2 separate regions of the Mus musculus genome follow, and region 2 is reported to be linked to region 1. The links are microRNA targets in miRTarBase. Many come from high-throughput screens and were not tested one by one. Region 1 holds a microRNA gene; the other region holds the end of a gene's coding sequence. Distances are between the middles of the regions.

Evidence for each region. Region 1 holds the annotated microRNA mmu-miR-1952 (UCUCCACCCUCCUUCUG, at 1,620-1,636, shown strand). A microRNA usually pairs through its seed, bases 2 to 8, with sites in the 3' UTR of a target mRNA and lowers its output. Matches are read on the target gene's strand: a 7mer-m8 pairs with bases 2 to 8, a 7mer-A1 pairs with bases 2 to 7 and ends in A, and an 8mer does both.
Region 2: the mRNA of Fign is a reported target of mmu-miR-1952. Seed matches in the 3' UTR shown: 7mer-m8 at 2,181-2,187, 7mer-m8 at 2,175-2,181, 7mer-m8 at 2,169-2,175, 7mer-m8 at 2,163-2,169, 7mer-m8 at 2,157-2,163 and 7mer-m8 at 2,142-2,148.

The regions. Positions count from the first base shown.
Region 1 is chr2:138,818,324-138,822,475 of GRCm38, forward strand. It overlaps Mir1952 (microRNA 1952), which reads left to right and starts at 1,606; the gene lies at 1,606-1,684.
Region 2 is chr2:63,975,341-63,979,365 of GRCm38, forward strand. It overlaps Fign (fidgetin), which reads right to left. Exons shown (of 4, transcript NM_001267846.1): 4 at 1-4,025. The coding sequence ends at 3,305. Among named protein-coding and RNA genes, the nearest start is that of Fign, 120 kb to the right of the region's middle.

The sequences.
Region 1 (4,152 bases):
ATTAGTATTCCCACAACTCAAGAGGCGAGCCCTCATGGATTAAACCAAGACTAGACTGGTAGAGAACATGTCTTTGTTCTATGTGATATATACATATTCCCACTTTTTAAAAATCATTACTTGTATCAGAAACCAACTCCTAATGTTAGTGGCTTCAACTAAGAAATATAATTTTTATTCACCGTAGTGTATTGTGGCTTCCTAAGTACCAGGCATTTGTTCAAAGACTTATCCTCCTTCCATCTGTGAGTCGCTCTTTCTTTTGTCAGCATGTTCTCTACTTGATAAAGCTGGTAGGGTTTCCAATAATGGTCCTAGAAGTGAAGACCTTGGATTCACAAACATTGCACTAAACAGATCTAATATATTTATACAACAGAGACTAGACAGTAAAGGTGACCTACGTGTTCAAGTTTGAGTGCAGAAGAGACCCTAACTACACAAATACTAACAGCCTGTGAAGAAGCAGAGCTAGGAAGTTGTCAGGAGTAGAAGCATATGTGTAGAGAAGATTATTTTCCCATATCCCATATCACCATACCAACTATGCAAAGCTCTCTTAAGAGTAAATTGATAGGGTCATAGTAACTAATACAGTAGCCCTTGAATAAAACATAGTTGCTCTAGACTGACAAGGTACAAGGGCATTTTCGTTGACCCAAAGGCAATCAAGAAATAATGTATGACTCTCTTGGCCTTTTTGCTGTCACTCTGTCGTCTTCTTCATGCTCCTCCTCTCTCCCCATTCCCCTCCCCCTCTCTCCAGGTGCTCATGGCTGGTCCTCTACTCTCTCTCTCCCTTTCTCTGTCTTTACTACCCTCTCAACTCCTTCCCATGCCCTGAATAAACTCTACTTTATACTAAAAAAAAAGGAAAGAAAGAAAGAATGTGTGTTAATAAACATGTTCTAAATTCTCACCTGGTAGTAGATAAGTCATAGGAATAAAGAAATTATGTGTGGGAAGGGGTGTAGGGGCTAGTAAGGTTTAAAACTGAAGCTGAATGCCTCTCTCAGCCCCTCAGAATACTCATAGACTCTAAAGAGGTAAAGGTTCTCATCCTGACTTGAACTTCTTTCTGCTTTCTCTTTTCTACTTGTTTTCCACAGTAAAGAGGCAACCCACATTGATACTGTTTCATCTGAAACACTAGGTATCTACAAAGGTCTGAGGTTTTTCTAGGCTATCTACTCGATCTGAAGTTGATGCTGGCTCACAACAGGGGCGTCACCTGAAAGTTAAATTGATGTTAGCCTCAGGAGACTATGAGGTTTTTGCCTCTAGTAGGGGGTGTTTATGGAGATGGTTGCTTCATCCACAGTGCCTGACCCTTTGGTCTCAACTGGTACAAACGTGAAGGCAAATCTCCTCTAGAGCAGATGTTTGAGCTGGAGTTGGCTGGAAAGTTGGGCAGCATTTTAACTCTGCACACTACCCACTTCCTCACTTCTTTACAGGCCCATATCCCATGCCCCAGAGCATCCTCTCATCAAAGTTCTTCTAGACCAGAAGTCCATTTTCAGGAGATGTGAATACAAACAGGATGAAACACAAAGTCTAAATAAATGTTGGTATTGAGACAAGGCAAATATTGCAGCCACCTATCCCTCTCTTATTGATCTCCACCCTCCTTCTGTGCAGGCTTATTTCCTGCTCCAAGGTGTGGATGACAAAAGAGATGGAAGTATGGGGGGGCGGGAGGGCACACAGAGGCTTTCATAAACCCTCTCTGCTTTTCTGCTGCTTCTCCTGTTCTTGCATATCCCCCACTTCTGCCTTCTGTTAATGCTAATTCAAGGTCTAAAAATAGATTTTTCTTCTTTGCAAGGCAGCATATAACATACTTCATCCTTTTCTTCTGTTCAAAGTTTGTGGTTTTCTCTGTCTGACTGCAATCTCCTTATGTTGTAAGAAAAAGTCTGAAAGGACAGTGCATGTGAGTGTTCCTGGGCATGCACACATGCATGTGTTGTGCATGTAGGTAAATTAAGTATATGCATATCTTGACACAATGCAAAAAGATTTAGGAACTTATTTGCACTTGGATTGCAGAGCACTGTGAAAGAGCTTGGAATATGATTAGGCTTCCTATTTTCCTCCAACTTCGGTCACCAGATCACATCATCTTCTAAAATTATCCAGGTATCTCAGATGCCAAAGAGTTTCCTGACTATAATTTTAAATTCATAAGCACCATTTCTCAAAACTACGTTTCCCGAAGGTTCTAGAGACCTGAGACTATAGCCACACACGGAGTGAGCATCTTCCACTCCAGATTGTTGTAGGTGTAAAATCCACAGGCAGATTGTCCCCCAGGAAAGGCTGCCAGCCAAGCCATTTCACTGGGGATGGAACTTGGGAGGATGGTGAGTCATGTAACTGAGAAGAAAGTGGCTGATGGCTAGAACATAATGAGCCAAACACCCTCTTAGGATGAGGATGGAAGACACACGTTTGTGGGCCACTTTCAGCCTCTCATAGCCTGCTGACTTTTGTTAAAAGTGTATCTCTAGCCCCACATTGTTAGAATTGTCACCAAGATACATTGCATGTTATATAAGAGCAGTGTCCCTGAAAAGTGCTTATGTGTTGCTCTTCCCCATCATTCCTTGGATCTCTCTGTCCTACAGGGAGTCCAGGAAATGAAGTCCTCAGCTGGGAGGCAGTCATTTGGAACTCTGTAGCTCCCATCCCAGGGCAGGGAATGCAGATGACCCTGGCCTTTCCTTGTTTGACTACACAATGTGATTTTTTTTCTCAAACACTTAAGAGAAAAGCATCGAGGAAAGCAAACCAGGTCCAGCAACTTCTTGGCTGCAGAGTTGTCCTACTTTCTTTCTTAGAAGTCACTGCGGCTCTTGCTCTCTTCCCAGTCACAATAGATGATAATAAGAGCCTGATTCCCTGTGTCTGCTCTCACTGAAGCCATGGGAGAAAGTAGCCTCTCTCTTCTCTAGGATCTTGGAGCACAAAACACCTTCCCCTTCATGCCTGATCAGGTTCTAAAGATCCACCTTCGGCTTTTCCTTCCCCATTAGCATACCCTCTCCACTTTGGCTTAAGAGCTTTCTGTAGTGGAATGCACCTTTAATTCCAGCACTCAGGAAGCAGAGGCAGGAGGATCTCTCTGAGTATGAGTCAAGCTGGTCTATCAGAGAGAGTTCCCAGATAGCAAGTGCTACATAGAGAGACACTGTCACAAAGCAAAAAAGAAAGCTTATGTGATCTCTAAATTCAAGGAATTCCCAGCAAACTCTGAACCCCTCCAGCATGAAGTATATTTTATAGCTGTGCTTATATCTTTCTCCCTAGCTGAGTACCAGGACTAGGTAGCAGATCAATGACAAATTATTATTAAATTATTTCATACAGCAAGGTATCTTCTTCAGTAGGAATGATAAAACACATTTCAAAGCTCTGAAATCATATACATACAAGAAATATTATACATATATATGTAGTGTATTATTTTTGTTGGATATTTCATTTATTTACATTTCAAATGTTATCCCCTTTCCTGGTTTTCCCTCTGCAAATCCCCTATCCCATCCCCCATCCCTGTATTGTTTTACATACACATTCTTAACTTAAACTGATTTAAGTTTCTCTCACTCAGGAGCTATCTCAGATCCTAAAATAGAAAAAACATACACATTCCAGTTAATCTTGAAATGCCTTGGCTAACTCAATGACTCACATTCCTCAACCTTTCCCTGCTACCCTAGGCCCAATTGAGGAAATAACCAATGGCCACTTACCCCAAAACTCACATGGCTGCATGGCCTTTTCTCCTGCTACTACTGTGCCCCCTCCTTCATTTTCAGTTCCCTGATTCTCACTGTGTCCTACCTGTAAAACTCTGTGTCCTACCCTGTGCTCAACCATTGGGACTGAGCCATTGGGACTATCTATTTATTGATAGATCAAAAACCAGCTGGGGGCAAGGACATTCAGCATCAGTAAATAAAAATTCCCAATTAAATCAAAGCATCAGAACCACTCTTCTACATACAGATACAGATATGGACGGATATGGATACAGATATAGTTACAGATACAGACATAGACACAGATACTGTAAGACTCTAGTGAGCCTTAGCTTAGCAGGGGACCCGCTGAGTGAACCACATGGGCCTGGGAATCAATGCAAAA
Region 2 (4,025 bases), 75 Mb from region 1:
GAATGTCTATTGATCCTTTGCCTGAAGTATTTCCCCCCTCCTCCTTTTCATCCCTGTTGGAAATGTTATTACAGTTGTGAGGAAGGAATTGAGGGCTATAAACGAGGCTGGCTGGATCTCCTCCTGCAACTGGAAAGGACTGACTGGTTCACTACCTTACACTCATTAGGAGCCTCCTCCAAATCCCAAGCAATCAAAGAGAGGCCAACAATTACCTAGTTTTGTTCTAGGGCTGAATATCCATGCTCACTTCTGGAGATCTGGAACTTGTTCTCCCCCAAGCTCTCAAATGGATGGGCAGAAAAGACGTCCTGATTATGATAGTCCATTGGAGTTTTCACACTGCTGACACATGGAGTTAAAAACCTTGCTAGAGCGTGAGTGTTTCGTTTCTTCAACTTGCCTGCTTTGCTATCAGATAATTCTAGACCTGGGTGGGCTAAGTGGAAATTACATGTAATTTCAAGCTTCTGCTCAATCCATGGATCTCAGACCATTCATATCTCAAACTAATCTTTAAGTCATTCATATCTCAAACTAATTTAAAGCCATTTAAAGCTATCAGCCAACATGTATGACTTCAGTTTATTATCAGTACTGTGAGAACAAAGCACAACTGTCATCTCATATATTTGGCATTAAGTCCCGAAAACCACACACCAAACAATGTGGGTTAATTCTGGGTTCTCGAAGGTTGACTAAAGAGGATTGGGTTTGTCAAAACGTGCCAGATGTTTTTACTTTTCACTTTATTAGTGAGCACAGCATATTGGTGGAAATGAGGTGTGAGCTCTAATAGAGAAGATGGGTCAGTACTGCACAGAGAATAAACTTGTGAATGAGATCAATATGGGCTCACAAGTTAGTGAATATTAGAATCTCCTTATCATGGGCAGTGCATAGGGTAGATCCGGAATATGACTAAAGCATTTATTCACTTGTGAAAAACAGAGGACATATCTAAGTAGTATTATCATTTGTGTCTCCTTAGTGAAAGGCACTGCTTTTAAAATATGGGATCTATTTTAGAACAGTGTAAGTTGATAGATGTTCACAGTCCATTAAATTCTAGTTCATTTGCTCAGTTTTAGCAACGGGAAAAAAAAAAGAGAGAAAGATTACTAATCAAATATCATAAAATGTTTGAAATACCACGAGTTCATTTTCTTATTCAGTTTCTCTGTGTTAAGTGTTTCAGAGAATTAACTTGTAGATGAGCTCAGGAAAAAAAAAAAGAAGGAAAAAAAAATAACAGAAAGACCTTTCATGGGGCTGCCATTGCATTTATTTAAAATTACCTTAAAAATGTACATCACTTATTGAATACACAAAATGCCAGTGCTTCGCAACAATTACTGCATCTCTAAATTTAAACAAAATAAAAAAAAAAAGAAAGAAAAAAAGAAAAAGAAAAGTAAAGAAAAGAAAAGGAGGGAAAAACAGGAAAATACAGGAAAATACATTCAAAATGCTAGGCTGCTCTGATTCTGCACAGGCAGTGGCTGTGGAAAGCTCTGTCCTGCACTGTGACAGTGAAAGAGAGACATTGGTGAACTTCAGCCAGCTGTCAATGAAAACTTGCACATACTGCATTACAGAAGACAAAGAACAACCTGGTGGAAGCAGGAGCAGAGGGGCAGGGTGAGAAAGGACTGCCACATTGCTGTGTGGTAGTCTTCAGAGGTGAAAGAATGCATAAAGACTGGTGTTACAGGGGAAGCAGACAAAGGAGGGAAGAAAACACAACAGGACGCAAAAGTCCCCACATTTGGCAAGCTCTGTTGTGGTATACATGTCCACGTCTAATTTCTCACTTGACTTTCCAAAAGAAACATAACGAAACTGAGGTAGAAATGAACGTAGGAGTTCTACAGCCTGGGGTGGGGGTGGGCTTGAGGATGAGAAGCGAAAGTGCACTCTGAAGATCGAAGTCAAGATGCGGCATGGGGGAGGGGCACGTGTGGGGGGTGCTCTGCAGATACCTGTGATTGGTTGCTTTTTTTTTTTTTTTTTTTTTTTTAAGTTTGCATGTTTGATTTGGTTCTATCCTCTGCTTTTTGTGAAATAGCTCTGTAAGCCTAGCAACTCTGAGTGGAATAGACTCTTCCCCTAGAGGTTTAGGAGAGAGCTTCCAAAACATCCTCCACCACCACCACCTCCACCTCCACCTCCACCTCCACCTCCACCATGGCAGTAGAAGGCAGATACAGTTTGTAGGTTCTGTCACTTTCAGGGTCTTAAACAGGTCTGCAGCTGACTGCTCTAAACACCAACACAAACTGAAGACACAGCTTTTCAATTAACCAGTGTAACTTCTATGAACATTTCCACTTAATCATCATGGAGAGCAATGCATTAAGAACTCTTCAGTAATTGTTCTGCTCTGGTTAATAATTCCCCATAATTAGTAAGAGAACTTTAAAAAAAAAATCCTTCCACTTCTACTTTTAAACTGTAAATATTCAGTTGTATCACACTTCAGTATTTTTCTTTTCTTTTCTGGATACATTCAAAATAATTTTCCTTGCTATTCTCCAATTGTTGAGGTAAACATACATTTTAATATAAAGTAACATTGAAGCCTACCCTATTACTCTCAGCAGTACATAGTGCTTTTAACACATTCCTTTGAGGTACTGTACAAATCACAATCACTTTCCTGAGTTTTTGCAGACAAGAACATTAAAAGAAATGAACTGCAGAAATTAAGGTCCAGATCACCGTTACCCTGTTTTACCTGCTCTTAGCTAACACTTCAGAACAGACAGGGTTGAGGAATACGGTTGCTCTTAAAATGGCCAAAAAAATCTGGTTTTCTGTTGTAACACAACCGTTCATCTCTTTAGTCCAATAGTGTTTGAAGTTAAAGCTCTTTATATTAGCACATGCCACCAATGTAATTGTGAGGCAAACAAACAAACAAACAAAATAAAGCACCACTCCAGGCACTTGACAGCAACTAAATCTCGAGAACAGCAGAATGGAATCAACACACGAGGTTCATGTCCTTCTGAAATCAACACACTTGCACCTTGCTTCTCGGTGAGTGTCGTCTAGCTTGAACCGATCCGAGCATCCACATGTATATGCTTTCTGTCAGCTGGGGCTTCCAAATCAGAGGCTCTCATCGGATGCCTGCTTCTTCCAAAGCTACCCTGACTCTAAAGATGCAACATAATCGTCGTCTTCCCCAGTACCCTTAGCAATTGAAACACTACTGGAAAGGGGCTCTATTCCCTATGTAGCAGGTTTTATGTGTGTGCCAACATTCATTACATTTTTTTTTCTTTTTTTAAAGATGTTATCACTGACTGCAACCAAACATTTTGTTCCATTCAACATACATATCAAGCTCTTTTTGAGATATGCTAGGCTGAATCTTGCAGAAAGCATTTTCAAAGTCTTGATATGTAACGGGCCTTAACTGGCTGGGCATAATGGCTGAAAGGTCTGTAGCTGGCATAGCATGGAGAGGTCCCACTGCTGCTTCCTGACACAAATGAGCCACGTCTAGTCCAGAAAAGCCTTCTGTGCGCTGGACAAGCAGTGCAAACTCCTTGTCATTGAGACAGTAATTGTGCTGTGTGAGCAGCTGTACTATTATCTGGTGCCTCGCTGTGCTGTCAGGAAGTGGGATTAAAAGTCTTTTCATGAAGTACCTCCGAAGAGATTCATCTATTTCTTCTGGTTTACTGGTGGCACAAATGACTACGATTTGGTCCTCAGCCGAAGTCAGTACAGTGTCCAGCTGCATCAGAAATTCGGTTCTCATCCGACTGACTGGACTGTGTTCCTCGCTCACTTGAGAGGAGAGAAGCATGTCAATGTCACTAACAAAAATCACCGAGGGCTGGCGACACCTGGCCACAAGAAAAGAGGCGTGGATGATTTTCTCCGCTTCTCCTATCCACTTTGCAACGAGTCCGGAACCGGCAATTTTGAAAAACGTGGCCCCTAGCTGACTAGCTATGCATCTGCCCAAAAGTGTTTTGCCTGTACCCCGAGGTCCGAAGAGAAGGATGCTT